Linked DNA regions of Oreochromis niloticus. The protein of the gene in region 2 interacts with the protein of the main gene of each other region in a pairwise test. Links are inferred from orthologs where the notes say so. Each region holds a gene or a part of one and is shown on either strand. Other genes may lie near its edges. The genes, in order: map3k3, glrx3, moxd1l and trim36.

Evidence for each region.
Region 1: the proteins of glrx3 (region 2) and map3k3 interact in a two-hybrid assay, tested with the Homo sapiens proteins (2 studies listed by BioGRID and IntAct). The link is inferred for Oreochromis niloticus from reciprocal best matches to the Homo sapiens genes GLRX3 and MAP3K3.
Region 3: the proteins of glrx3 (region 2) and moxd1l interact in binary tests that used the Homo sapiens proteins (3 or more experiments, as listed by UniProt). The link is inferred for Oreochromis niloticus from reciprocal best matches to the Homo sapiens genes GLRX3 and MOXD1.
Region 4: the proteins of glrx3 (region 2) and trim36 interact in binary tests that used the Homo sapiens proteins (3 or more experiments, as listed by UniProt). The two-hybrid records come from large-scale screens. The link is inferred for Oreochromis niloticus from reciprocal best matches to the Homo sapiens genes GLRX3 and TRIM36.

Annotation. Positions count from the first base shown.
Region 1 is NC_031969.2:28,854,312-28,861,972, reverse strand, and holds the start of map3k3 (mitogen-activated protein kinase kinase kinase 3), read right to left. Parts: upstream 3,009-7,661; 5' UTR 2,472-3,008; intron 2,257-2,471; 5' UTR 1,592-2,256; intron 1-1,591. UniProt on the Homo sapiens protein: Component of a protein kinase signal transduction cascade. Mediates activation of the NF-kappa-B, AP1 and DDIT3 transcriptional regulators.
Region 2 is NC_031976.2:36,170,298-36,177,086, forward strand, and holds glrx3 (glutaredoxin 3), read left to right. Parts: upstream 1-4,694; 5' UTR 4,695-4,724; coding exon 4,725-5,702; 3' UTR 5,703-6,273; downstream 6,274-6,789. Other genes in the region: large proline-rich protein BAG6, read right to left, coding at 809-880, 1,149-1,363, 1,737-1,854, 1,950-2,030. UniProt on the Homo sapiens protein: Together with BOLA2, acts as a cytosolic iron-sulfur (Fe-S) cluster assembly factor that facilitates [2Fe-2S] cluster insertion into a subset of cytosolic proteins.
Region 3 is NC_031980.2:9,793,778-9,801,610, reverse strand, and holds the start of moxd1l (DBH-like monooxygenase protein 2 homolog), read right to left. Parts: upstream 3,005-7,833; 5' UTR 2,976-3,004; coding exon 2,706-2,975; intron 1-2,705. Other genes in the region: snx9b (sorting nexin-9b), read left to right, coding at 7,079-7,090.
Region 4 is NC_031977.2:21,326,974-21,334,680, reverse strand, and holds the start of trim36 (E3 ubiquitin-protein ligase TRIM36), read right to left. Parts: upstream 3,001-7,707; 5' UTR 2,588-3,000; coding exon 2,525-2,587; intron 1-2,524. UniProt on the Homo sapiens protein: E3 ubiquitin-protein ligase which mediates ubiquitination and subsequent proteasomal degradation of target proteins. Involved in chromosome segregation and cell cycle regulation. May play a role in the acrosome reaction and fertilization.

The DNA.
Region 1 (7,661 bases), on a different chromosome or scaffold from region 2:
CTCTGGGGACAAGGAGGGGTGACTGGCCCATTACTGTGACTGATTTAGTGAAGTAGTCAAAAACTCTTTAGAGGTCGAGCCCCTGGAGTGGATGAAATTTGCCCCGACTTCCTTAAGACTCTGAACTTGTGGCTGTCTTGTTTGACATGCTTCTGCAGCATCACTTGGAAGTTTAGGGCAGTTCTTCTGGCCCTTTGTTGCAGATTCTGTTTATGACTTTTATGGATAGAATTTTTAAGGCATAGCCACATGGCAGAGGGCTTCAGCTATGGCAGTCTCAGGATCACGTCTCCGCTCTTTGCAGATGATGTGGTTTTTCCGTCCTAATCAGGCAGTGATCTCCAGCGTAACATGGGTTGGTTTGCAAGCAAGTGTGAAGTAGCTGGAATGAGAACCAGCACCTCCAGGTCTGAATACATGAACCTCAGCCAGAAAAGGGTGGAGTGCCGACTCCAGGCCAGGGACGAGTTGCTGCCCCAAGTGGAGGCATTTAAGTAACTCGAGGTCTTGTTCGCAAGTGATAGACACACAGATTGGCTCAGTGTCTGTAGTGATCAGGGTGTTTTGGTGAATAGAGGGCTGTGTTTGAAAGCACAGATCTACATTCCTACCCTCACCTATAGTCATGACCTCTGGGTAGTGACCAAAACAAATAATGAGATTGCAGTGGAAATAAACTTCCTGACGCTCTCCCTTATTGAAAAGATGAGGAGCTCAGTGATTTGGGAAGGACTCACATTAGAGCCACTACTCCTCCATATTGATAAAAGCCAGTTGAGGCGGTTTGGGCATCTAACTAGAATTCCTCCAGGTCCCATCCTAGGAAGGTTTTTTTGAGCATGTCCAAACTGGGAGAAGGCTCCAGGGTAGAAAAAGCATACACTGGAGAGATAATGTCTTGGCTGACTTGGAAATGCCTCAGCAGTCCCCCAGATGAACTGGAGTAGGTGACCAGGGAGAGGGAGGCTTAGATGGCTGCCCACGCAACCCGAACCCGGATACACGACAGAAAATGGAACAGAATGGAATGACACACATGCTCGAGGAAGATAAGCTATTAAATTTAGTAAGCACAGCTGTTATATATTCACTATGGAATATGAATTTAAATTTTTTCTCAATTAAAAAGGTGGAAAGCTGGATGGCATTTTCAACCCTGACTGATTAAGACAAGAGGTCACAGACAAGTCCTTTTTTAATGGAAACTTTTAGAAAATATTAGCAACTACAATCTATATTAATTTTCAATTCCCCCCAGCTTTTTATACCGTCAATTTCTTAGACTTTATTCAACTAATTCAGCAAAACAAATAATTTCAAGGACATAGCCTATTCAATAATGATAATAATAATGATAATAATAATAACAATAATAATAATAATAATAATAATAATAATAATAATAACAACAACAATAAAACCGACCCACGTAAATAATTAGAAAAGCTTACATTTCTGTTTTTGGCAGACAGAGCTAAAAAAAAAAAAAATATTTCAAATATATAATCCCGACACATTTTTTCCCTGTCGACTGAACACAGCGCATTATTTACACCTGTCACTACTCTCAGGTGTAGCTCACAACCCTCACCTGTAGTCTCAGCAGGTCAGGTCAGGACCGAGGTTCTCCCGCGTACAGCCGACTGGTCACCGTAGTCTAGCGGCAGGAATGACGCAGTAGGTCCAGCTGTTGTTAACGTCCATTAGTGTCCTCGGTCAGACCAACACACCAAAGAGTGTGAGTGAATGTAAAGGTGCCATCGGCGGGGCTGACCCCCCCAGGTACCAGGGCTTGTCTTCTTTAACGGAAAGTTAGATCACACACACAAACCGATTCTTTCCAGGTTGTAAAAACAAGCACGGTCACATGAGGCAGCTGTAAGCCTCACAGAGAAAATGTTCCGATGGGAAAACCTACATCAAACAGCTCCAGCTGTGGCCCAGAGGCAAACTTTTGCGCCGTTGTAGCCTCGGATCCTTGGAAAACTTAAATTTCCAAAACATCTTTAGAAGTCACACTAAAAATCGATGAATTTAGAAATGTATTCAGAGCCGTGTCCCATTACAGTGTTAAATACGAACAAAAACTGCCAAACCAAAGTGTAACAGTAACCGTATGGCCTGTATGAAATCCATTTGTGGGTAGCAGCTCGCCAGAGGAAAGACCGTACGATTTCCGTGATTCTGATGGCCTCTCTTCCTGCTAAGTTTGCAGATTTCCCTCGACCGTGGTTCCAGGTTTGAATCCAAAATATTCTAGGCAGAAGATGTTTTTATTCTCATTGCTGCATTGCACATAACTGCATCGCATTGCAACGTGAATGATGATATAAACATAATCAGGCAAGAACACACGAAGGCCGATCTGGCCTATAAAAATGTGCAGATGAATTTAATTGAGAGAGCACCGAGCTGAGTTCAGACTTAAAAATAACACAGACTAAAGGGACATTGGCAGAAAAAAGTACTACCTTTGAGTTTATTATATACTTTAACCAGATGCGTTATGTCATGCGAAGCCAAGTAGGATAAAGTCCATCGATGTTTAGACTTCGCAGGGCTGCAGACTCTAAAATTGTAGATCCTGGAGTATTCATATAAACAGCAAACTGATATTTAAAAACAAACAAATAAACAAAAAAAAAAAACATAAATTAGACGAGCTCGGTCTGTTTTCAGCGACAGTAACAAAGATGTCGTTTGTTGAGAGGAGCCAGCGGTCGTCCACAACTTTTCCGAACCAAAACAAAGCAAGAAATAATCTTCAGCTGAATACGTCAAACTTCCTGACAGAAAAAATATCGCCACCGGAACCAGCTTTTATGCTTCCAACAAGTCATGAAAACGGCTCGCAAAGGTTGTATCCATGTTTCCCAGATGCTTCACTGTCCGCCATCCAAACGCTGGTAATAACGATGATTTATTCCCGGGGGGATTTCTGACTCCTAAACTATCTAAATTAGAGCCGTGCAGCCGCGGGGACGCGCTGTTACTCGGTGGAAGTCTTCTTTCTGGAGCGCGCACAATATTATTGGAGGGGCGGACCAGCTGTGACGTCGTGAAGCGTTTGCTGCCGTGAAAAAGAGTTGGAAAATCCGAAATTCACAGCTTTTAACTTAACAGTCCTCATCCGTCTAAGTCATCCAATGTTTTCCTTTAAGAGTGAACAATAACGTGCATTCCCTAATTGAATTTAAATGACACGTTAGAATAATCTAACGTGAAGTATTTGAAGTCAAGTATTTTCATTTTATTTTGGTTTCAGCAGTACTGGACCTGGAGGGAGTGGAATACTTATGTAAAAAGGTCAACGGGTTGTACTTCATTATATCATAGGATTATTGTTGCGCGGCATGTATTTGAAACATTTATTGCGCAGTGTAATGCAACAATTATACAATATATGCAATTTATCTAAAAGAATCAGAAACACGTGTGCGCGCGCACACACACACACACACACACACACACACACACACACACCAGTCAAAGGTTTGGACACACCTTTTCATTTAATTGTTTTTCTTTATTTTCATGACTATTTACACTGTAGATTCTCCCTGAAGGCATCAAAACTACAAATGAGCACATATGGAATTATGCAGTAAACAAAAAAGTGTGAAATAACTCAAAACGTGTTTTATACTATAGATTCTTGAAAATAGCCACCCTTTGCTTTGATTACTGCTTTGGACACTTTTAACATTCTCTCGGTGAGCTTCATGAGATAGTCACCTGAAACGGTTTTCCAACAGTCTTGAAGGAGTTTCCAGAGATGATGAGCAGTTTTTTGCCCTTTTGACTTCACTCTGCGGTCCATCTCGTCTTAAATCATATAATTTGGGTTTAGGTCAAGTGACTGTAGGGGCCAGGCAGCAATCCATCACTCTCTTTCTTGGTCAAATAGCCCTTACCGACCTGGAGCTGTGTTTGGGGTCATTTTCCTGTTGAAAAATAAATGATGGTCCAACTAAATGCAAACCGGATGGGATGGCATGTCGCTGCAGGATGCTGTGGTAGCCATGCTGGTTCAGTGTGTCTTCAATTTTGAATAGATCCCCAACAGTGTTGCCAGCAAAGTCCCCCCACACCACTATATCGCCTCCTCTGTGCTTCACAGTGGGGACCATGCATGTAGAGACCATCCGTTCACCTTTTCTGTGTTGCACAAAGACACTGCGGGTGGAACCAAAGATCTCAGATTTAGACTCATCAGACCAAAGCACAGATTTCCACTGGTTTAATGTCCATTCCTTGTCTTTCTTGGCCCGAACAAATCTCTTTGTTTGTTGCTTTTCCTTAATAGTGGTTTCTTAGCAGCTATTTGACCATAAAGCCCTGATTCGCACAGTCTCCTCTAAACAGTTGATGGAGAGATCTGTCTGCTGCTGGAACTCTGTGTGGCATTTATCTGGTCTGTAACCTGAGGAGCTGTTAACTTGGGATTTCTGAGGCTGGTGACTTGGATGAATTTATTCTCAGCAGCAGAGATGACTCTTAGTCTTCCTTTCCTGGGCTGGTCCTCATGTGAATCAGTTTCATTGTAATGCTTGATGGTTTTTGCCGCTGCACTTGGGGACACATTCAAAGTTTTACCAATTTTCCAGAGTGATTGACCTTCAGTTCTTAAAGTAATGATGGACTATCTCTTCTCTTTACTTAGCTGATTGGTTCTCGCCATAATATGAATTCTAACAGTTGTCAGATAGGGCTGTCAGCTGTGTATTAACCTGACTTCTGCACAACACAACTGACGATCCCAACCCCATTAAGAAGGCAAGAAATTCCACAAATATACCCTGACAAGGCCCACCTGTGAAGTGAAAACCATTTCAGGTGACTACATCATGAAGCTCATTGAGAGGCCAAGAGTTTGCTGTGCTGTCAACAAAGCAAAGGAGTGGCTACTTTCAGGAATCTATAATATAAAACATATTTAGAGTTATTTATGATTTTTTTCTTTGCTACATAATTCCATATATCTTGCTTCATATATTTGAACATTTATATATTCAAAATCTGTGACTCAGCATTTTGAGTCTATTTTGTATTTTTGATTTCTTATATTATATTGAAAATTAAGTTCTTGTGTTGTTGTTATTATTAGTTAGGATTTAGTTGAGTTTTAATCTTGTTTTTGTTTCACCTACATTTCCTGAGTTATGAGTCTTTTTCTGTCCTCTATGTAGTTGTCTTGTCCTTAGTGTTTTACCTTTAGTTATGCCCGTGCTCTCATCTCCTTTATCCATTCTTATGTGTCTCTTCTGGCGTTCCATGTCTCCCTAGCCTGTCATATGTCTTATGTCTGTTGTGTGTTCCATATTGCCAAGCTTGTGCTGTCATGTCTACATCTCTCAATGTTTCCTGTTTTATTTTGAAGAGTCGGGTGTTTCCATGTTCATTGTGTTTTGTCATTATGTTCATTCCAGTCAGCTGTTTTCCCATGTGTTTCCACTTCCCCTGATCACCTCTTGTGTGTATTTAGTCTGTGTGTTTTCGTTCAGTCTTTGTCAGGTTGTCTGTTTTCCTTCCTCCACATCAGGTTTTAAGTGTTTTCCATGATTCTGTTCAGGGCATGTTCATGTTTCAAGTTCACGGTTTTTTTTTTTTGAGGGGTCCTATACCTTCTCTCATGCTCCTGCTCATAATCATGTTCATGTTCTCTTTGGTTATAGCTGTTATAGTCCAGTCTTTTCAGTTTAGGTTTTAGTTTTGTTTTCGCTACTGTTTGTTTTGCTTTGGATTTTGTATTCATGTTTTTCAGCCAAATAAACGGCTCACTTTGTCTTAAACTTAGTTCGTTTTCTCCCGTCTCTGATTTTGGGTCCGTTCCTTTAACACACCGGCTTTGCAGCCGTGACAGTTCTATATTCATAATCAGAATACTTTGTTAATTCCAGATATTTTGTGGTCAAAGTTGCTCCAGTAAGAACAGTAACTAACTAAGCCACATTCAAAAACAAAATATATTACAAAATATTACAAAAAAGCTGTAATATAAATCTAAATGTTGCAGAGGAAGATGGGCAGTACTTTTCACTGCACTGTATTGGAATATAAGTGTAGTGTATCAAGTACTTCAAAGTTGTACTTAAATGTAACCAATTACCTTTTGGATTACTTCCATTACAGCTAAACTTTATTAGATTGAAGTATTTCACCACAAATAAAATGCAAATAAAGACAATGTAAAACTCAGTGTGTTAAATCAACACCAGCATTTTATTTATTTATTTTTTTCCAAAAGCATGTAAAAAAAAATAAAAACAAAAATATGCACAAATGATTGTGTATATTGGCGTAGAAAGAGGGCGCTCACATTTTAAAATGTACCATACTACAACTAAGCAAGAGAGAGGAGGAGGAAGAGAGGAGAAAGACTGCATACAGTCCAAGCATCCTTTTGCTGTAAGGCCACCTCAATCCACAGGTCATGTCTGTAATATAGAATACACTTTCAAAGATGCATACATTTAAAATGTCTTGATGACAACGGCAATAAAAAAGGAATTCCACATCAAGTGTAGCACAGAAATGAAATGATTCACAGATTTAACAATAAAACGTCACACTGCAATCATTCACCTGAGCCTTGTGGCACCAGTGTAAAGTGTACCTTGTCTGCTCTATTAGACTTGGACATTGCAATTCACAGATTTTGCAGTTGTACCTTGGCGAACTGCTAACAGAGAATGACAAACACAGCATTTTTAGATACAATTCTCTTGATTTTTAAAGCATTCTCTGGGATCCAGAGGGCCGTTTTAAAATGACATAAAGAAAACATACATGTTCACACATAGTAGAATTAGAACTTTTGTACATGTGAATAAAGATGGTTAGGTGGGGAAAAATGGCTGCTGGTTGAGTGAAGTAATCCTTTGTTAAAGAGTTGGACTCTACAATAACCAGATCTGTTTTTAAAAAGGCATGATCACAAGATTTTGTTGTAAAGATCTGTGCATTCAAAGGTGTTTTGAAAAAGCAATAAGGTCAGCTCTTTGTCTTCTAAGGCTTCTCTTTAAAAAAAAAAGTCCATCTGTTTTGCTTCCTATTCTGCACAACAAGCTCAAATTAACAGTAAACCTTCAGTCACAGAAAGTACTTTGTGCCATTCAAGTGTCAGTGGTATTTTCTAAAATGTGATGATTTAATGGCTTTGGAGTTATCCTTTGTACAGAATGAAATAAAACCATGGAAATCTACACTGAATTAATTGTTCTTACATGTTAAAACTAAATAAGATCAAAAGAAGCTGTTGGCTCGGCTAGCTGCTGATCCTACTCAAAAACTTGAAAATAAAAGGCTATACTCAAATCATGGGCAAGTTATAGTTTTATCCTCTCATGTGAGATGCTATTGTCACACTTTTCCCAGCAGGGGGTGCTCTGCACTGGCTTTTGCATGCAGCCACACATCAAGGTGCCCATATATGTGACAAACTATCCATCCATCTATTGTAACATTGTAACATTTATATTAAGAAATAGGTCCAGTTGCATTTAGCAAATAAGACAGGAGAACCAGAAGGCATTAACTGAAAAAGGACTCAGGGGTTCAGGACAGAGTGACTGGATGTTTATGTCGCTATAATACAGCTTTTAAAACTTCATCACAAGACAACAACAAGCTGACAAGCATGAAATTATGAAGCAACACAC
Region 2 (6,789 bases):
CGTGCTACAGTTATGAGCCGAGTTACGCGTGTAGCAAGTTTTGTGAGGTGCTTTTTTGATATTTAATGGATCGGATTACATTTTTTATTTCTCGCCGATATCCAATCCAGTAATTTAGGTCAGTATCAGACCGATACCGATACGTAATATCGGATCGGTCCATCTCTAGTATATACAGGTGTTAGAGAGACATTTGCCTCCATCCAGATGACATTTTGTTCAGGGAAAGCCTGTTTCAGCAAGATGATGCTACACTGCATGCTGCATGTATTACAACAACAAGGTTTATTGGAGGAAGTTCCAGGTGCTGAACTGGTCTGTCTGCAGTTCAGACCTTTCAGCAAATAAAACCATTTGACGCATTATGAAAAAAAAAATATGACATGAGCCAGCATGGTTGCAGCAGCTGGTCTCCTCAGTTCCCAGATGTTTATGGACTCTTGTTAAAAGAAGAGGGAATCCTCCACAGCGGTAACAGAGTCCTAGATTTTAAGGCCATGTTTTCTTAGCTTTTTCTGAGACATGTTATTGCTATCAAATTTAAAATGAGTAAACATTTTCTCAGTTTAACATTTTCAACATGTTTTAAATGTTCTAATGTGAATAAAATACGGATTCAGGAATGAAATTGCAAATTATTTCATTCTGCTTTTATTTAATTTTTACATAGTTACCAAAAATTTTTGGAATTAGTGCTGTACTTTTATATTTCTGACTAATTTTCAATCAACAATTAATCGAGTATCCATGTTTTTGGGGTGCAGGAGCAGGGCGGTGTACTGCACTGGGAGAACATGCAAACTCTCACCCCAGTGCTGGTTGTGACTCTGGCATTCCTAGCATTCTCTCCCATGCTGGACACCATTTGCTGGACTGACATCTATATGAAAAGATTCAGGTACAGAATGACCAAGATGAAAACATTATTAACAGAAACCAACAGAGGGAATATTGCATACAGACGTTAAATTCAAAGCAGAGAATGTGCTTCCACTTCTCTGCTACATGGCGTAATAATTAGTAGTAATCAATAATGGACTAATAACATCGGTTTTCTGAGTTGCTTTTCATCACCCTTTGGTTATATCTGAACCTTTGCATGTGACATTGGACCATAAATATAACTTGAGAAGATAAAGCAGACCAACCTGTATTTGCTGGGGATCCATGATGTTGACAGGGAGGTTGAATGTGCCAAGCATTACGTAGCTGTTAGCGTTGCGATCATGTGGAGGCACTTGTGATGTTCCCTGGGAGGAAGAGGATGGCCCACTCTCGGCTGAAGAGCCTCCTGACCCTGAGCTGGGCTGTGAGGGTGGAGGGGGCGCTCGCTCCACGAGGTGGATCACTTTTCCACCCACATCTGGTAGAAACAGTCATATGCAGTTACACATCTCCAATCATACTTCAAGAAAATATTTTTTAAAAAAAGCATTTCCAACACACAGACTCTACTTGAATGCACTACTAAATCTTTCAGTTAATTACACATAGCTGTTAAATTCTTTTTCAGCAATGGCCCACATCATCAACACAAATCGTTTTAAAAAGCAGCAGAAACTCTTAAACACCATAGTAAATTTCAATTTATCTGTAACCAAGTGTAACCAAAATGTTAAGAATTCATTCTCCGTGTAATACCAAATACCCAAAAACGTATTTCCTGCTTTCCAGGAGGAAGTACAAAGACCAACAAGTAACAATCTAGTTCTGCATTTCATTCTTTATTTACTTACTGTAGTCTGCCAGAGTCCTTTCGTCCTGCAGCACTCTGCCCTGGTAGATCAGCCTCTGTTTATCCACCGGTATACCCACTGATGGGGCAATGTGCTCCTTGAACTCTTTCACCGTCAGCTACAACAAAGATTGAACAGACATGAGTAACACCACAGGAAAGATGAACTAAGAATAAGAATTTCCTCCTGAGTTTGCACCATGCATGTACTTACCTGAGCGCCAACAGTGTAGGTTCTGCTCTGGGAGTCTAATGTTTTCACCGTCACCTCTATGTCAGCAGTTTGTTCTTCCATTGTGTTCCTGTAACAGAAAGATGTATTTTCCATTTATAGCTCAGCTGAAACTGGATTCTTAGGGTAAATATGATGACTGTTATGTGAGAGTTTAAACACTTTGCTAATTTGAAATCCTCTCATATTTCTTTCTTAACATAAACATCTATTTTAAACATCTCTGTGAGATGTGAAATGGAACATTTGGGACTAATTAGGACAATTTACAGTATAAAACAAAGACTCTCACTTAAATTATCACAAACATATCTTTTGTCATTTGATACTTGCTGACTCAAAGGGTCCGTAAAAACCTGATGTGCCGGCCAGTAATTACCAACTGATACTGCTCCTACAGCTATGGCCAATGATAATGTTTATTCTCAATTAATGTGTTAATAATTACTCACACGGTCTATAAAATGTAAAAAGAATATATGAAAATAGCTTCAAAATATTGTGGTTGTTGTAACTCATAGGTTAAAAAAAAAATATTCAGAAATGTAGAACATATAGGAAACAAAACACTGTGTGGACCTACAGCAAAATTAAAAAAAACAACAAAACCACCATAAAATGTTAACTACAATACTTTTATTTTCAAAAATATGTGCATACTCTTGTAATAATAATTAACAATATTTAACTATTATTTATTTACAGCAATTTTTCTCTACTAATGTTTTCTCAGTTATCTTCCTCTTTATTGGTGGACCACTCATGATGTTGTGGCACTAATGTGGCAAAATACTATTTCCTCACTTATCATTTTAAATGTTAAAGTTCATGATAGTACATTTATTAAAAGACTGAACAAGTTGACAAAAGGGCTGCCACAGCCATCTTTCTCTTTAAAATGAACACAATTAGATTTGCAAACTTGCATCTAAACAAACTACAAAACTTTTGGAACAGTGTTTTTTGGACGGACAAGACAATTGTGGAGATAATTGGCCATAATACAAAGTGCCAGTGGTTTAAACCAAACACAGCATATCAGCATAAACGTCTCATACCAACTGTCAAGCAAGTGGTGGAGGGGTGATGTTTTGGGCTTGTTTTGGAGTCTAGGATGTGGGCACCTGCAGTCAGTGAGTGGATCATAAATTTCTCTGTATGTTAAAGTATTCTAAAGACAAATATAAAGCGCCTTGAGGCGACTGTTGTTGTGATTTGGCGCTATATAAATAAAATTGAATTGAAATATGAGGGCATCTTTTCAATAACTAACCCTTGTGTACAACAGAACAGCTAAAAAAACCCCCGAAAGAGTCAAGGTGTTGTAATGAGCAAATCAAAACAAAATCTAAAGTTCATACTGCAATCTGATGTAATGCTGTGACAGGAGAGCTTTGTATAAATGAATGCCCGCCAACCTCAATGAACTGAAGCATAAACCATGTATAAAGAAGAGTGAGACTGATAATATCATACAGATAAAGATTACTTCAAGCTGATGCTGGTTAAGGTGTTTCAATAAGCTACTGAATCATGTGTGTACTTAGTTTTTCAAAGGACACATTTACACAGAACACACATGCTTTGTGATCAAGATCATGCTAATAGTAGACAATGTAACACGTGGGAGAAGATGATGTGAGAGACTGATAATGTCTTACAGAAAACCATTACTTCAATTTAATGATGCTAAGGGTGATTCTACAGGCTACTGAATTATTGGGAGCCCATAGTTTTGTTTTTGTTTTGTTTTTTTAGACACTACTTCTGCATTTTGAGTTAATTGTTGTTAAACTTTAACACAGTGTCATATGTCATATAAGTATGTTATAATTTTCAGGCGTAGTAACAAACTAGTTATTATCACCGGATTTGAAAAGCCTTAAAAATAAATAGAAGATGCATTATGCTTATACCATGGCAAGGATAAGGTGTGTATTGTTTTCCCTTTCATTTCATTTGAAATGTTTATCTAAAGAATATTTTTTCGCCACCATCTTACTTGTCTTGACAGCTACGCAGCATATGGATTTATAAAGAAAATAGTGCCGTCCGCAGGTGCAGAAAACTTCACAGAGTTGAATGTTCCTCAAAACCAGCAACAAAAACACGCAGCAGTTTTTTTCGTGCAAACCACCGATGTAAAACCGAAGGACACAGCTGAGTCTGATCAGCGAAACACTTGCTCGTGTTGTTTTGGAGTTTGCGTGCTCGGTAACAGCGTAATGTTGAGTAGTTAGCCGAGGAACCGAGGCTGCTTCATGCTGGGCCAGACACCGACGTGCACTATCTTTATTTAAACTCTTTTTATTAATTTAACTCTTAGAACAGTGGTATTTGACTCTATTTCTATTTAGCAGAATTTACGTGTAACAGTAGCTTACTTAACCACCAAAGGCTTGCTAGCATGAATTAGCTTTGCTTAACTTGGAAACCTGGCAGACGTCACGAACGAAGCTAACTTTGAGCTAACTAGCTAATGCTAAAGCTACTAAAACGGAACGTTAAAATTAGCTTAGCAATCCGAAACAGAGTGAAATTCGTTTTAATTAAGTCTGTGTCGTTAAACAGTTACCTTAGAAGTTACTATCCTCTCGACTTATCCAGTGTATGCAGCTGTTTTCTTATCATCAGCTAGCATGCAAACGACTTCCCTGTAGCTGCTCTGGTACTTGCCAGAAACTGCCAGGCTACGCGGATATGACGTCTAGGCGGCACCGGAACCACTGCGCGTGCAGAGGGTGAAAGGAAAGAAAAATGGCGAATCTCGTGGAGGCGACTACTCAACAGCAGTTTGAAGATTTCTTAGCCAAAGCTGGAAAATGCCTTACCGTGGTGCATTTCCAAGCGGCGTGGGCTCCTCAGTGTGGCCAAATGAACGAGGTGATGGCCGAACTGGCCAAAGAACATGCGCACACTACGTTCGTGAAGCTAGAGGCGGAAGCGGTCCCGGAGGTGTCGGAGAAGTATGAAATTTCCTCCGTCCCCACTTTCCTTTTCTTCAAGAGCGGAGAGAAAGTGGACCGCCTGGACGGGGCTCACGCTCCGGAACTGACTAAGAAGGTGCAGCGCCTCGCGGTGAGCGAGGGACCCGGTGGAGCCGCTGAGGGCAGCGGCGCAGATCTGAACCAGCGGCTGAAGAAGCTAATCAACGCCGCCCCCTGCATGCTCTTCATGAAGGGGTCACCCCAGGAGCCCCGCTGCGGATTCAGCCGACAGATAGTTGCGCTGCTGAAAGAGCACAACATCCAGTTCAGCAGCTTCGATATCCTGTCCGATGAGGAGGTCCGACAGGGGCTGAAGACGTACTCCAACTGGCCCACCTACCCCCAGCTGTATGTGAACGGGGAGCTGGTGGGAGGACTGGACATAGTGAAGGAACTGGCTGAGTCCGGAGAGCTGGAGAACACCTGCCCGAAGGCTGTCACCTTAGAGCACCGACTGAAGACCATCATCAATCAGAGTCCAGTCATGCTGTTCATGAAGGGCAACAAAGAGGCTGCCAGATGTGGCTTCAGCAGGCAGATACTGGAGCTCTTGAACGGTACCGGGGTGGATTATGACACCTTTGATATCCTGCAGGATGAAGAAGTGCGGCAGGGGCTCAAGACTTACTCTAACTGGCCAACCTACCCTCAGCTCTATGTGAAAGGAGAGCTTATCGGTGGTTTGGACATTGTCAAGGAGTTGAAGGAGAGTGGAGAGCTGGTATCAGTCCTGAAAGGGGAGTCGTAGATGGATCTGCATTGGCTATCTGAGGGAGGGAACAAGAAGCTGCTGCACATACCCAGATTAGCTCCAGTAACCCTGCAGAAGGGTCAAAATATTCTCTAGTAACTAATTGTATTGTAGCAGGGGGATAGATTCACTCTAATTACAGTCAGAAATGAAACTGCTGTCAACAGTAAGAATTTACATCTGTTTTTCTTTCTGGTAATGATTGTTACTGGAAAGCTGGGCTTCTAGAAATTCTTGAAAATACATCTGAAGATTTGTTTAACATGACATTTAAGTAAATACTTCTTGCTGTCTGATTCTTGGAAAAATGATGACGTTAGTTCACAATATCTGCATTTCTTGGGATTATAGCTTTCCTTCCAGTGTTGACAGCCTCACACTTCAGTATGTTATGTAGACTTTTATTTTCCTACCCAGGCCAGCTGCTCACTGTTCACACCGTCCTGTCTGCACATTCTCCACCTTTAAAGTCCGAAAAGCTGTTTTTAGCTCTGTGCAAGGATCACTCTGGTAACAAGCTATGTGTGTTTGTCGGTAAGATTACAATTAAAAATTAAAACAACTTAAAGTGTTTTTTCCCTTTATTGTTTAATCTGTAAGCATTTACTCTATTCACCCTGTAAGCATTAGGAACCTGAGGAGACAACTGTTGTAGATTTTTTATTTATTCAGTTGAGGAGACAATACAATAAGAGACGAGCCACCCTGTAACAATGAAGCAGCTACGTTGAAGCGTAAGATTTAACAGCGAGGTAATAGAACTAATAAAGTCTGGCCAAATATGTGTGATTCTACTGAGTGGTAGAAGAAAATTACCACTGTTGCAGAAATCCTTTGTTTACAACACAGTTTCAGGGATGGATATAGGTTTCTACATGGTATGGTTTTTCACTGATGCGAAACAACACCATCATGCGTGCTGGCTTTAAACTGTCCTCTGACACTAATCCCTTATGGCCCTTCTTTTTATCCAGGAGGATTTTGATTGGTTCAAGGACATTTTTCCACTTCTTAGTACAGCTTAACTGTGCAACATTTCTAGTATAAGCCTCAGATGCAAAAGCTTAGAGACCAAAATTCAGAG
Region 3 (7,833 bases), on a different chromosome or scaffold from region 2:
GGTCCTGTGTGAAAAAGTGATTACCCTCTATAAACCTAACAACTGGTTGGGCCACCCTTAGCAGCAACAACTGCAATCAAGAGTTTGCGATAAATGTCAATGAGACTTCTACAGCGCTGTGGAGGAATTTTGGTCCACTCATCTTTGCAGTATTGTTGTAATTCAGCCACACTGGAGGGTTTTCAAGTATGAAATGCCTTATTAAGGTCATGCCACAGCATCTCAATCGGATTCAGGTCAGGACTTTGACTAGACCAGGGGTCTGCAACCTTTTACACCCAAAGAGCCACTTGGACCCGGTTTCCACACAAAAGAAAACACTGGGAGCCGCAAATACTTTTTGACATCTAAAATGAAGATAACACTGTATATATTGTTTTCTACCTTTGTGTGAACAACTAAGGTGTGCTGCTTATGAAATCCATGAAGTGGTACAGAGAAAATTACATTTTATTTATGTAATCAACACATTTTGAACTCTTAAAGAAATATAACAAAAGCAAAGACACCCAGCTGAACTAAAATGATCCATGTAGCAAACAAAAACTGTTGTGAGCTGCCACCCTTATATCTCCTTTGGGCTTTTGGAGCCTTGACCTGACTTTTAAAAAATAATTGGTAAAAAAAGCTCTATGCTGCTGAAAAATGAAAAATAGATATTTGCAAAATTCTGCCTAAATATGTATTTTACCTGGTTAATGCGTGCGGCGGGGGCGTGGTCTGCAGCGCCGCTGCAGGGGAGGCGGACGCACCTGAGCGGCACCCGCAATCACGCCTCGCCGCCTTAAAGTCTGTGCTCTCTGCTGTTGTTGGTGGTGTGTGTCGGGCTGTGAGCTGCGAAGCTACAGCCGGCTGTATGCGTACAGCAACTGTGTGTGAAAAGTGGTCAATAAAGAGATGCTGAAAAGCGCGTTCATGCAAACATCGTCGGGTCTGCCGTGATGTGTTTACAATGGGACTTCTGATCCTGAACCTCTGCGCACAGCGTCTGCTAATCGGTGCTCTGCGAAGTCAGTTTACGCAGGACTGTAAGCTGTCATCTGTCGTCTGTGAGGCGTGAGCAGTGTTTGTCTTTAACATACTTCACGGTGGAGCTGCTGACATAATGTGGATCCGAAGATCCATAATTGGCCTACCTGGGGTTGAAAGTCTCGATAAATGCACGGTGTTTCGGCGGGAATACCGGCTTCCGCGAGTGTGACGCTTATATTGAGCGAGGAAAAAATAATAGAATATAATTTTATATTTATATTTCAATATCACAATAATTTTCCAATTTAGAACTACAAGTTTAAAAGAACTAACATAAATAAAATACACTTCAGCGAAATACTTCTAATTTATTTTCCCAAACCATGCGGAGCCGCACTATAAGGACTAAAGAGCCGCGGGTTGCCGACCCCTGGACTAGACCATTCTAAAGTCTTCATTTTGTTTTTCCTAAGCCATTCAGAGGTGGACTTGCTGGTGTGTTTTGGATCACTGTCCTGCTGCAAAACTCAAGTGTGCTTCAGCTTGAGGTCACGAGCAGATGACTGGAAATTCTCCTTCACTTGGTTTTGGTAGACGGCATGGTTCATGGTTCCATTTACCACAGCAAGTCTTCCAGGCCCTTAGGTAGCAACACAACCCCAGACCATCACATTACTACCACCAATTTACTGTTGGTATGACATTCCTTTTCTGAAATGCTGTGTTACTTTTACACCAGATGTAACACACTTTCCAAAAAGTTTGATTTTGTCTCATGAGTCCACAGAATATTTTCCCAAAGATCTTGGGGGTCATCAAGATGTTTTCTGGCAAAACTGAGACGAGTCTTTATGTTCCTTTTGCTCAGCAGTGGTTTTCGTCTTGGAACTCTGCCATGAAGGCCATTTTTGCCCAGCCCCCTTTTTAGTGGAGTCACTAACCTTAACACTGACCTTAACTGAGGCAAGTGAGGTCTGCAGTTCTTTAGATGTTGTTTTGGTTTCTTCTGTGACCTCCTGGAAGAGTCATGGCCAATCAGTCTAAAATTACTTTTGGAATAATTTTAGTAGGCTGGCCACTCCAGGGAAGCTTCACTACTGTTCCAAGTTTTCTCCATTCATGGATAATGGCTCTCACCATAGTTCACTGGAGTCCCAGAGCCTTAGAAATTCCTTTATATCCCTTTCCAGACTGATAGATGTCAGTGACTTTGTTTCTCAGCTTTTTCTTTGGATCATGATATGTTTTGTTGAGATCTCTTAGCCCGCTTCAGCTTTTCAGACAGGTTCTATTTAAGTGATTTCTTGATTTAGCAGGTCTGGCAGTAATCATCCCTGGGTGTGGCTTTGTAAAAAATGTGGTTAATCACAGTTAATTTGTGATTTAACAAGGTGTGGGCCATCACTTTTTCACACAGGGCCATGTAATAATAAGAAATCAGGAAGGTGGCAAACACTTTTTCACACCGCTGTATCTATTTTTTCTATTTCTGTCCCTGACAAATACCGAACATGACATAGTGACACTAAAAACTAAAACTGTGCAAATCTAAAAACTAAACAAAAATGAATCATTTTCAATAGAATCTAAACTAAAACAACTGATATGAAACTGAAAAGAAAACCAAAACACAAAATTAAATTAAACAGGATGAAAGCATTCAGCTGTTTATCTAACTTTTATCATAAGTAAAAATACAACAGGTTCTGATTTGTTATTATTTCATAACTAACCGAGAAGTAGCTTCCACTGGATCCAACTCCTCCTATGACGATGTCTGATCCTTTCATGTCTCCGTTCGGGCTCAAACCAAAACCCACCCAGCCTGTGGTGTTGACTGCCAGCTGGAATGTAATGTCATCAACGGGATTGTCAAAGCCCCACTTCAGGCACACCAGTTGCTCCTGGTCCAGGTACTCCATAAAGGGCATTGTGACATCCATCGCCCATGACCCTGTTGCGCAGATCAGTAGCAGGGAGAAAAAGGGAAGCAGAGAGCACATGATGTCTCTGCAAAGCTGAAAATCTTCAAACTGAGCTGAATACTAGCGGGGCTGCCAAACTCCCTCCCACCATCCAAAGACACACCTGCGTTTCGAGATCAGCTCAAGTGATAGTGGGAAAAAAAAGTGCTCAGGCATTTACTGTTTGCCCTTGCTGAACAATAAAAACTGGGCTTTCTGTGCTCCCTGTCACATTCTCATCCTTGTAAAAACTCACAAATGAGTTTCAAATTCAGCTTCTTTAAAGCCTTAGTATTAAATCTGTAATTGAATCTTTTATGTACTAGCAGTCTCCAGCCACAGTGCTTTTCATACAGCACTAAAATGTCCACGGGTGGGCTGAAGATTTCACCTCCACTTTTTTGTTTTTTTGTTTTTTTTATAACTGGCAGACTCAGGTGATTGATATATGAATCGGTGCTAAGGAGAAGTGAAAGTTATAATACTTTCTTCTCACCTACTGTCACATTCTCATATATCAAAGGCTTGAGTCAAGCCAAAATAATTTCATGGCGCAGGAATGTGAATTGTGTAGTTATTCTCTGAGTGCTGCACTCAGATCCTGATACAAAAGTTTTAGGTTTATTTCTTTGTTCATGTGTTATTTTTTTACAGTGTGCAATCTTTAACCGTCTCATATTCTTTAGCGAACATTTCAGAGAGATTCTTCTTCTTCTTCTGGCTGAACAAATATCTAATATTTTAAGGAAAACACTTCAGCTATCACTTCAAGTACAACTTATGTAACAACTGACTCAAGTGCTCTTACACACAACGCTTCTCTGGTCATTTTACTGTGCAACTCATCCTGTTCACAGGTTCAGTTGCACAGTCTAGTTTTTTTTTTTTTTATTACCAACATATGCAATATTTTCTTAACTTGAGCGCATAAGGACAGAGGAAGATTTCTTTAGTGATCGTCATCATTGTCAGTGATAAACTAATTGACAGCACCGATCATTGCAAACAAACATTCATAGAAGTTGTTGCATGCTAGAATTTATTGTTTGTTGGACTTTCTGTTTAGGACAGTGGGTTGATTGATGGACAACACACACTGTCAAGGCAGTAAAAGTATATCTGGATAGAAAATCACAGAAACTGACTTCCCCGGAGCCCGAAGCTCAACATTTTTGAAGCAGTGTGAGATTATCTTGACAGAGAACGAAAGAAAGGGCGGCGAAAGAACAGCATTCAATGTCCTTCAAGAGGTCTGGAGAACTAATTCTGAAGACTACTTAAAAATCAAAAGAAAGCTTACCTAAGAGAGTTCAGGCTGTGTTAAAGAATAAAGGTTCAAGCGCATTAGAACTGTACAAGCTCTGTTTTTGCCTTTTGTCCTGTATTTCTATGTATGCTTGCACTTGTTTCACTGCAATTTCTGAGAAAAATATAAAAAAAGACTTTTACACAGTGCTGTAAGTCTTTACCAATAATGATAACCCAGGAAATCAGGAGACAAAATAAAAGATAATTGTAACTGTCAGGCATCAAAAATTGAATTGAATTGAACTGAAAGCCTTTATTGTCATTATGCACAGTATAACGAGATTTAAAACAGCTCCATAAAAGTGTACAAGTGCTTAGCACATTATAAAAAACTACAATAATATAAGTATACACATAATATAAATACACGGCACTGGGTGACAGAGACAGACAACCAGAGAATAATGACACGGACAATTTAAGCGCCGACAATTTTAAGCACAGACATAAGTTCATGCTAGAGTCCAAGGAGCATCAGAATGAGCACTCTAATGGTGCAGTGGTCAGTGCAGATATTTCAGTGCAAATTACTTTTATAAGTTTGAGTTGAGTATGGTGATAGCTTTGGGGAAGAAGCTATCCCTAAGTCTGTTTGTTCTGGTCCATATGGATCTGAAGTGCCTGCCAGAGGGCAGTTGGTTAAAAAGATGGTAGCTGAGGTGGGTGATATCCTTCAAGATGTATCTGGCCCTGCTGAGACAATGGGAGTTATAGATGGCAGACAAGGAGGGCAGAGGGCAGCCAATGATTTTTTGTGCTGTGTTTACCAACCTCTGCAGTCTCTTCCTGTCTGCCTCCGTGGAGCTGGCGTGCCACACGGCATAGGTCAGCAGGCTCTCGATGGTGGATATGTAGAAGGTCACCAGCAGTGGGGTGTTTAGTTGCTCCTTCCTGAGCACCCTTAGGAAGTGTAGCCACTGCTGGGCCTTCTTGACTAGCGCTGTGGTGTTGACTGACCAGGAGAGGTCTGCAGAGATGTAGATGCCAAGGAATTTGAAGGACTGCACTCGCTCACCATTGATGTGCAGGGGGGCAGGGGCAGCTCTGTTCCGCCTGAAGTCCAGGATGAGTTCCTTGGTCTTGGTGATGTTAAGTGCCAGGTTCTTTAATGCTCACCATTCTCCCAGTTTCAGGATCTCATCTCTGTAGGCTGCCTCATTTCCCCCTGTGATCAGCAAATTTAACAATGGTGTTCTCTAGATGGGCAGGACTGCACTCAGATGTGTAGAGGGAGTAGAGTAGTGGGTTAGTACACAGCCCTGGGGAGAGCCGGTGCTGAGAGTGTGGGGGGAAGAGAGGCGAGGATCCAGTTTCCCCCGCTGGGGTCTGTTGACCAAAAAGTCCTTTATCCAAGAGCAGGTGGGTGGCAGGAGCCCCAGGTTGGCTAACTTGGTGATCAAAATGTCCGGTATTATTGTGTTGAAGGCTGAGCTGAAGTCAGTGAAGAGCATTCTGACATAGCTCTCATGTTGCTCCAGGTGACTCAGTGCTTGTGTGGAGAGCAATGGCTATGGTGTCTTCGGTGGATCTTTTAGTCTGATATGCAAATTGGTGTGAGTCCAGAGCGGGTGGGAGACAGGTTCTGATGTGCCCCAGAACCAGTTTCAGGAAAGGAGTTGGTGATGGCAGGGGTTAGTGCAATTGGACGGCAGTCACTGAGACTGGTTATGGGTGACTTTTTAGGTATGGGGGTGATTATGGCAGATTTCAAGCAGAATGTGATGACGGCTTGTTCCAGAGACAGGTTGAAGATGCCAGTGAAGACCTGTGCTAGCTGCTTGGCACATGCCTTGAGCACCTTCTCAGGTACTCCATCAGGACCTGCAGCTTTCCTGGGGTTCACTGCACATGCCTCACATCCTGTGTCTCAAGAGTGAGTGGGGAGTTGCTAGAGGCTCGTTTGAGCTGTTATTGAAAACGTTAAGAAAAAACCCACCAACAATAAAAACTTAAGATAAGATAAGATAACCTTTATTAGTCCCACACGTGGGAAATTTGTTAAAATACAATAAATTGAAGCATTTGAGTAAAAAAAAAAAGTCTAGGTGTAGGAATTTAAATAGTAGGTGGGTTTTTGTATCCGATCCAGACCACTGGGATAGCAAATACAGACCTCGGTTTAAAACGCACTTGCACAATGAGGCCAGCAGAGGGAGACTTAAACAAAAGAGTAAACATAAGTTTAGGTTCAGGGTCACTCCCTTTGAGCTGTCAGCCCCATAGTGAGTAAACACACAATTAAAAAACGCACTGGAAAATTTAAAAAATCCCGCAAACAGTAGAAATTTTATTATTACTACTACTATTTTCATTATTATTGTTATTACTTGTTTTTTTTTCCCGACAAGTTAAAAATTTTAAGTTACCACGTTTTATATATATTTTGTATTTTTTTTTAATCGTTGTTTAATTATGAAGTGTTTTATTTCTTCATATTTAAAAAAATAAATTATTTGCGATTTTAAACAGTCGTGTAGTCTCTCTGGAGGAGCCACCATATCGGACCTGGACTACCTTTCCGGTTTCTGTGCGTGTTGCAGGTCACTCCCTCCTCCGTACTGTCAGCAGCTCTTTACGCGCTTCAAACTTGGTAGTCGCACTCAGCTGGTCTCCTTCCCACCTTTCGTTTTCTCGGATTTTTTGAGTTTTTAAACGACCTACTGTTTTTAAGTCATGTGTTAATTCCTTTGTCGCGGCGGCTTTCCACCGGAGGGAGTTATCGTGTTTTCTTCGCCTCCAGTTGAAGAGAAACGCGGAGGAAATGTCCTGCTGAGGGTTGGAAATCCTGAAAACCACAGGGCCTGTTTTTGTAATGATTGATCAATGCTTCGATAATGGCACAAAAGGTGGGTTTGACAACTTTCCTGGGCTTCTTTTAAACCCCCAGCCCGACTATGCTGGCTTCTTGGGTTCCCCCTGGAGCTTGTTTTTCACCAATACTGAGGGCTGTAGACTTGGACAGTTAGGACTGTAGTTTCTCGCATTAGTTTTACAGTGAAGACTTCACTCGGTGAGCTCCGCATTAAGACTGAAAGCATTTAGGGAGTCTGCTTTAAAAGCGTCATGGCCGCTTGTCGCACATCTGTATGCGCTCAGCGAGAAACGAATGCTTTTGCTATACATGGAAAATGTGTCTAATTAACGAAGTGTCTTGTGACATTTTACTACCTTTCCAGTGTGGGTCATAGCTGCCTCCGCGGAATTCTGGGAACTGCAGTCTTTTCTCAAAACCCTGTTCGTACCATATAGTATGTGACTACTGTTTACCTTAGGTGAGGACTACAGGGCCATAAATGTAGCTGCAGCACTGTAAACACGATAATTTTGCTCATGGTATTGTTCGCATTTGGACCTAATGAGTGTTCTTTTAGGAGTACCGGAAATGGTACGTGAAGCAGAGTGTGTATAAAGATAAACTGTACGTAAAATTAAGAAGTTAAATACCCCCTCTACTCTAGATATAGGTTATGATATGCAAAAAATCCTACTGAGAATAATAACATAACATCTGCTTTTTATTTTAAGTAATCCTTAACAAAATAAAATAAATGATGTTAAACTAATAAAAAATGCAGCAGTCACCACAGTA
Region 4 (7,707 bases), on a different chromosome or scaffold from region 2:
TAAGCCTCTCTCAGGTCCCGTGTCCGATATTTGCTGGATATGTTTTGTTTGTTTCTTAGGGATATGACACACAGGTGCTGTTAATCTGCTGTACATATGTTTTAATGCATACCATTTCCTTTTCTGTCCTCCAATTGTCCAGTTTCTTCAATTTTTTAAAGTGCACACTGCACAGCATGCTGAGATATGCCAAGTTTTTGGCTAATAGCACCTCGGGAATTATTGGTGCAAAAATACTGCTTTATTTCTATCAAATTATGTTATTTTTGGCACTTTCTATAGATTCAGCTAATGAAATGGGAACATATATGTGAAAGGCTGCACAACAAAGTGCCTTAAGATACAATTTAAAAGTGGTTCTGTTATGTCTGTTATGTATAGACACAGCACTAATTCAACACTAATTCAGCACTAATTCATCCCTTGAGTTAAGTTACCTTTTTATGTTTGAATTATTCATAGGTCAGTGTTAGGTAGCTTAACAAACTAAGCATTCTTCTAAACAAATGATCAGGTACAAGGACTGGACTGAAAATGAGTGAAAAAGCAGTCAATGTCCAAAGGGGGGGGGGCTCAAGACTTTTGCACAATACTGTACTGTATATCAGAGGGACAGCCCAGGTTGAGATTTTTGGGAGACAATGTTGAATGTTTGCAATCGAATTGAATTGGGGAAAAGTATGCTGTGTTTGCAGATACAGTAGCAGTGTTAGCAGTGTTGTGTTTAATCTGTGAAGGCTTGCTGAGAACAGACCGGTAATTAAAGTGTCTTCATGTGCCTATCAGCACTTTGAATTTGAAGTTAAAGGGAAAGCTCTCAAAAGCTTTACAAAAGTACTTAAAATACAAAACAGCCTACCTTTTTCAGTATGTCCATCCTCCCACTGGGTTACTACACTGACACCCATTAGCAAAGGGGGCCAGTAAACTGAGACTGCCGTGCTCGTTACAATGTCAGGGTCCTTCCCATTACATTAGGGGATTTATGAGTCTATAATTGCTTGCTGCAGTGATTATTGCGGAGGTCTGCAATTATTTTATTGAACACTAGGGTTGCCTGGCAAGTCACCCCAATAATGTTTCAGTTAGAGAACAAAAGGTGACCATAAAATAACTTGGGTGCTTTGAGGAGAAGCTGTAATTCCTTCAAGAAGTGAAGTGGCCATGTTATTTGAATTGATTAACCGGCTTCTGCATGCACAGTCACTGGAGGCACAGAGGGCAACTTTAGGACTCTGTTTAGTCATTTGTTTGGTTGCTGGCAGACGCTCGGGCCTTGCAGCGACACTGCCAGACAGCACCGTCTTGCTGCTGTGTCACATGATGACGTTTTTGCCACTGTGGACTTTCATGTTCTCCCTGTGCCTCTGTTCCTCACAAAGTCCAAAGACTTGACAACATTAAATGTCCTGTATGATGTCATTATGTCGTATGCTGTATGTCAACCCTGTGACTGACTGGGAGCCTGTCCTGAGTTTAACTTGGTCCTCTAGGATTCGATTCACCCTCCAACAGCCCTCTTAGATTGGATGGTGATCTATTAAAACTAAATTTAACAGTTTCACAGAGGCCTTAGAAATGTTCTGACACATTACCCTCACTTACAGCATTTTTTGTACTGCTGTTCACAGAAAGACACTCAACAAAGAATTTCCAGTTACTGTTTCATTAATAGATTTACTGGGTTCCTAATTTTATTTATTCTCTGGTATAAAAGTACCCACTGTCCACGACAGGTCTGACACCAGCTTAAATTATAACAGAGATCTGCAACTGCGGCTGGCATGTGTGAGTCAGTCGCCTGTACGGTCTTCTCCTGTTTCTGTCACACACATGAAACACATGCACAGCTCTGTGCACGCATGAACAAATGCCAGAGATTGTGCTAGCAGGAGAGATACATTTCAACACATTCTGTCAGTCTGGAGTGCATGAAATGGGTAAAGACACCCACCCAGCCCTCCCCTTTCAGTCACAAACACACCTCAGTAACCCAGTCTCACCAAAACCACAGCTGCTGCCAAGTGGCCCACATTTTGACAGAAGTCGGTGTTCTCCCTGCAGCAGTAACCAGCAACACACCCAGAAAAACCTCTAATTAAACTCATCATGTTTTTTTAGATAGATAGATAGATAGATAGATAGATAGATAGATAGATAGATCAGGTTAAATTGAGGGAATGAATCTCTACTTTTGAAATGCAATAATGTAAAGTGACAGATTTTACAAGAACAGAATAAAATAAAATAAAATAGTTTGTGCTACAGGAATACAGTAGGTCTTACTGTTGCATATGGCCCATTAATAACTCAGTCATGCACCCGTAGTGTATATAACGCAATATAATAGGATATTGTGTGATACCAACAAAGAACAGATAAGAATAGAAGTCTATGAGCATGCCTCTCCATCCTCTGACAGCCCTGCAGGCCGGCCCGGCGCTGCTGCTGCTGTCGGAGCATGTTGACAGGCAGATCGCCGCTGTCAGAAGGACCATAAATCATCCGAGCGGATGAGCCTCACCTCGCCCCGCTCGATCCGCTCCACGATGCTGGCGAACTCAGTCATATCCTCCGAGTCCGACATGGCTACAGATGATGGTGATGATGGTGGTAATGACGATGAATGCACAGTATATAGAAGAAGAGAGCACCTCGATATTTAAAAATGCAGGAAAAAAATGACGCAAACAACTGCTGCGGCTTGTTAAAGAAACAGGATAAAAGCTTCAGAGCTTCGCAGGGGAGGTGAGACAACATCAAGAGGGGAAGAGCCGCTCCTCAGACCACATCCCCATCATCATCCATCCTCTCTCCTCCCTCCCTCTTTCTCTCTCCACACGGGCTTAGGTTTGTCCGTGGAGACTACAGTAGCCCACATGCGCCGGCAGCAGTTTAATTTTAGTTAGCCTCATCTTGGAAGGAAAAACCCCGCCCTCGCTCCTTTGTAGCCTCCTGTGCCATCTCCCTCCTTATCCCCACATCATCCCTCGGCGGCGATGTCTCGCCTCACACAGCTCTTTGTATTCGCCTGATCTACTATCTATCACCCCCCGAGTGAATGACTTCCCTTAATCTGTCAATCACTACAAAAATCATAATCATGTCAGCCTGAAGATTAAGGGTCGGGTAGGGAGGAGGGGGGTCTCAAATCATTTAGTGCCGCTTATTCAAGTTGGGCTTTTACGCATGGCTGGCGGCGCACTCACGTGCGCACATGACGCTTTATGGGCTGACTTGTGGTCATTTAGACTCACGTAGCCTTTTTATGCCATATTTGGTTTATTTTGTTGTTTGGGAAGCTGAAAACCGCCCTTGAATGTGACACATCCAGACGTGGAGAGGTTTGGAGAAAAAGCCGGATTGTGAGGCCGGATTAAGTTCGTGTTTTTAATTTTTCTGGCAATGCCACTTGTTCCGCGTCGGCAGATGGCTGCATGGCTTCATGCAGACATATTCCACCCCATTGAGCATGTGGAGGGGGGACAAGCAGGCAGACTGCCCTGACCGAACAACCGAAGCATAACAAAATTATTAAGTATGTTTCCAGTGGCTCCCAACCACGGAGACAATCACTGTCAGCTGGCATCAGTCGAAAAACCTCTTTTTTTTGTTGAAAACCATTTAAAGATGCAGGTACATAAACGAACTTCTAATAGAATACTACGATAAAAATACGAGCACCCCATCGTTGAATGATTTAGAGGTCACTAGGATCATCTTGTGGACTGAACAAACAGCAGTGAGAGGCTGCATTTGGCCGATGATGAGGACAGAAGGACAAATTGAGGGATTATCAAAGCTGAACTTCTGTGTGAGGGCAATGTGATTTCACCAGATTTCACCAGATTTCAGTGGAAAAATCTCACACCAAAACTAAATGTGGCCCTCATGCAAGGAAAACCTGAGGGATGACCACACTGTTAGTAAGAACTCATCGTGTAGGAGGCATTAATGTCTGGAACAGAGTTTATGGCCATCCATCACGTGCTGCTGCGATGCAGTGCTTTAGTTGTCATGTACATAAACCCGAGATGACACATAACTACCCCATAAAACGCCACAGTGCTCTACACCTATTGCAAAATCAATATAAAGCACTGATTAACGTGTTTCCCTAAGTAGGACTGACAGAGAATACATGTTTTATAAGCACACATTAGTTCACCTAAGGGCCTGTGATCGTTCCAGATGAGTCATTAATATCACATGAAAGGCAGAGTGGTAAACATGCTGCATTTCTTCACTTGTTTTAGTAGAAACAACTCGTTTGACGACTGAGTTTGCATTAAGCGATGTTTACCGACTCATATTAGGTCGTCTTTGCTGGCAGATATACATGTGGGAGTATGAGAGGTGTTGATGAACTCCACCCAAGCCACAGCTGCAACTTGCTGCCAAGGGAATATCTCCAGACATCACCAGTCTGGGTTAGGCTGTAATCACTTGGGTAAAAATACTTTCCTAACCTCATGTTTGTATTTCTATTGCTTTCTGGGGGGTGGGGGGTAAAATGTAAGATCCACTGCTGTTTAACATTTTATAATGTCCAAAGATTGGATATCAGTGCCACTGGGCTCCATTAGCCTGGCTCGTGTTACCCTATCAGTGCCAACAGTGAAGTCTGTGACTGTGCTGTGCAGCTCCCAGGTGGGACTCCATGTATGTTTGCACATGTGATCTGTATCCAGAGGGACCCCTGCCCCACCTCCCCCTCAGCTTTTAATGATGTTTCAGTCACTGACCTAATAAAGCAGAGGGGAAAAAATCAACTCCCAGCTTTACTCACTACACAAGCCATCCACACTGTAGAAACATGAAAGGCAACTGAGGCAAATTGGGGGAAAATACCGACCAGCTGTCATCTTTCGATGTAAAAATAAAGCAACAACAGTTGAGTCACCGAGCCATATGCAGGACACAGTGAAAGGAAATAAAGCCTTTCATAAAGAAACTCAGCTGTTGTGGGCAGCATGAATCATGTAACACCCAAAGGAGCGAACACTTGCTTTGTCTCTTTTTGCCATAAGGAAGTATTTAGCATGAGATACTTCCATCCAAGAGGCATTAAGCAAGGGGAAATCCATCTTTGGCATGACAGCTGGGATGACAAGATTCACAATAGTGAGAATAAAAGTGCTATGCCGTGACCCGTCAGACCCAGGAGAAGCACGTTTCTCCCCACCGTAGCAAAGATCAAAACTTTTATCCAAACTTGGTCCTGCTTTCATTCTGAGGCTGATCCAAGACCTTTAAGGTGGACAGGTGAGAGTGCATACTGATGTTTTAGTGCAAAGAGGGGACAGGGACTGACTCTGAAAGGACTAGTTGAAGATCACATTTCTGATCATTTTGTGTTTTAAGGATTTCTTGCTTTATTTCTTTCTGTGAGATTTTATTGCAGCTAATGATTAAAGAGGAGGAGAGAAGGGATTTTAAGCAGCAGCCAATGGATGTTATTGTGGATTGTTTGTAATTGCTGTTGCAGTTGTGGGTGCTTATTATAAATATCGCCAAAGTTTCAAATAATGTCTCCGTATACCCAGGCTTTAGACTGCTCAAAATGTTCAAGTTTTTTGGGATCTTTATGAGGCCAAACAGGCTGACAGCTCTGGTGCTTCCACTCAGAATCAAGCAGAGCTTGATGGGAAAGACAGTTGCAGTGCGGATGTTTGAGCTGCTCCCATTTTAATCTCATTCATGTTAGGAATCTTGTCCTTTCAGTGATAAAGCCAAAGCATTTGTAGGCCTAGGTTTCCTTATGAAATTATTTCTTTTTGAAGAAACTTCCCATATAGGAAGAGGGTCTCAGTGGCAGGGAGGCAGGGATAGGATTTATTTCCTTATCACACCTTTGTGCAGATAAAGGCATTTCAAAAGCTACAGGCTACTTGCTATATGAAATTTCTATCAGTATTTTTGGTTACAAGAGGAAAAGCCTTCTTTCCTATTAAAAACAAACACATGGGATATACAGTATGTTTTTTTTTCCTTTTGGTGCACATCTGGAACATAATCATTTGCATTTTCGAACAATTTTGGTAACCCCCACGGCCTTTCACCTCCAGGAATGAGTCTGTTTTTAACAAGCAAAATCAATAATTTGTGCAGATGATGCACACTGGCCTCACGGGACAAAACTAAACTGTTTTTTTCTGAATCTGAAGCTGTTGATACTGAAGGAAAAACTTCAAGAGGGGCCAGTAGATTTGTCCACCATCTCCCAGATTACAGAGTTCCTGACAGACAGGCCACAGTTTGTCAGACTGGCTTATCATCGCCTGACATGCTGACGGGCTGTCTCCATTCCTGTTCACTTTGTGCACCTCAGATTCTAAGTACAGCTCTGATCATGGCACCTATAGAAACACTGACGATTCTGCAGTGGCTGGATGTATTAGTGATAAGAAAGAGGAGGAATATAGAGCACTAGTGGATGATTTTGTGGCGCATTCTGCGAGGAATCATCTGCTTGTGAATGAGACCAAAGAGATGGTGACGACGAGCACAGCTACACGACCTTGTTTGTCCTGGGACCAAATGTTGATTTGATGGAGGTGTACCCACGCAACCATGACGGCAACAGGCTTAACTGGAAGATGAGCAGGCTCTGTTTACTAATAAAGCTGCAAACCACAGCAAAATGGACATTATCCGTCTGCTGAAGCGAGCACAGTGTACGGAGCAGGAAGGCTGGCTTTGTGATTGGCTGAAAACTCTGGTGGAAGTAACAAACCTAACCACCTCCGCAGCACGCACTGGACAGCAGCAGAGAAACTTTCTCTGACAGGCTGATTCAGCCACAAGGACAGATACAGGAAGTCTTTCATAGGTCATGTGACACATCTGTCTATCTGAAAATCACGTTTTCTCATGTTAATGGTTTATTCAAACCCTGCACCCAGGACCCACACACATAGCAAAAAAAAAGGGTGGACAGATCTATATTTAAACATATACTTTACTTCCTTATTTGGATTTCAAATCAGATTTTACTTTAGTAAAATATATGTTGCCATTTTGAATTTTATTTTACTGAGCTATACACTATTATAACTATATCGTTATAGGTTGTATTAACCTTTATTTTTAACTTCTGTACCAAAGAAATTCTCCAGCTTTTGAGGCTAAAGTGCAACTTATCTAAAGTGAAAAGCTGCATGAACCCACCCACAGAAAACAATTCAGACAGTTAGTACAGGTTTTATTTACCATACATACAGTTTGTACTGCCAAGCCAGAGCCAACATCATTTCATTCAAAGCTATAGACAAACAGTACATCACATGCCAACATTTGCATATCCAGTTCCTCTAACAGTCTCACTCACGTCGCCGTAAACCTGGTTTTCTCTTGCACGATAGAAGTCACATATTTATAGACATTTACATGTGTATCTACACTCAATATCTCTACAAAGCATAGAAAAAATAAATTTCATTACCTTTATTCTTACATTATTCATTATTACATTATGTATATTTATTGATGGCAAAGCAGGGGTTTATGGTTTGACCACATGTCGCTGGATCTCGGAAAGAAAACAGTTTTCACTGCAGCTAAAAGCACAAAGCTGTCGTCCACCTGTTTTGGGACAGAGTGGACTGCGATGCGACCGCGGGAGAGAACAGGTGACTCTAATAACAACTGCTGAGACACAGCCTTCATCTGCAGTCACGTGGCAGAGCCATTAATCCAATCTTTCAT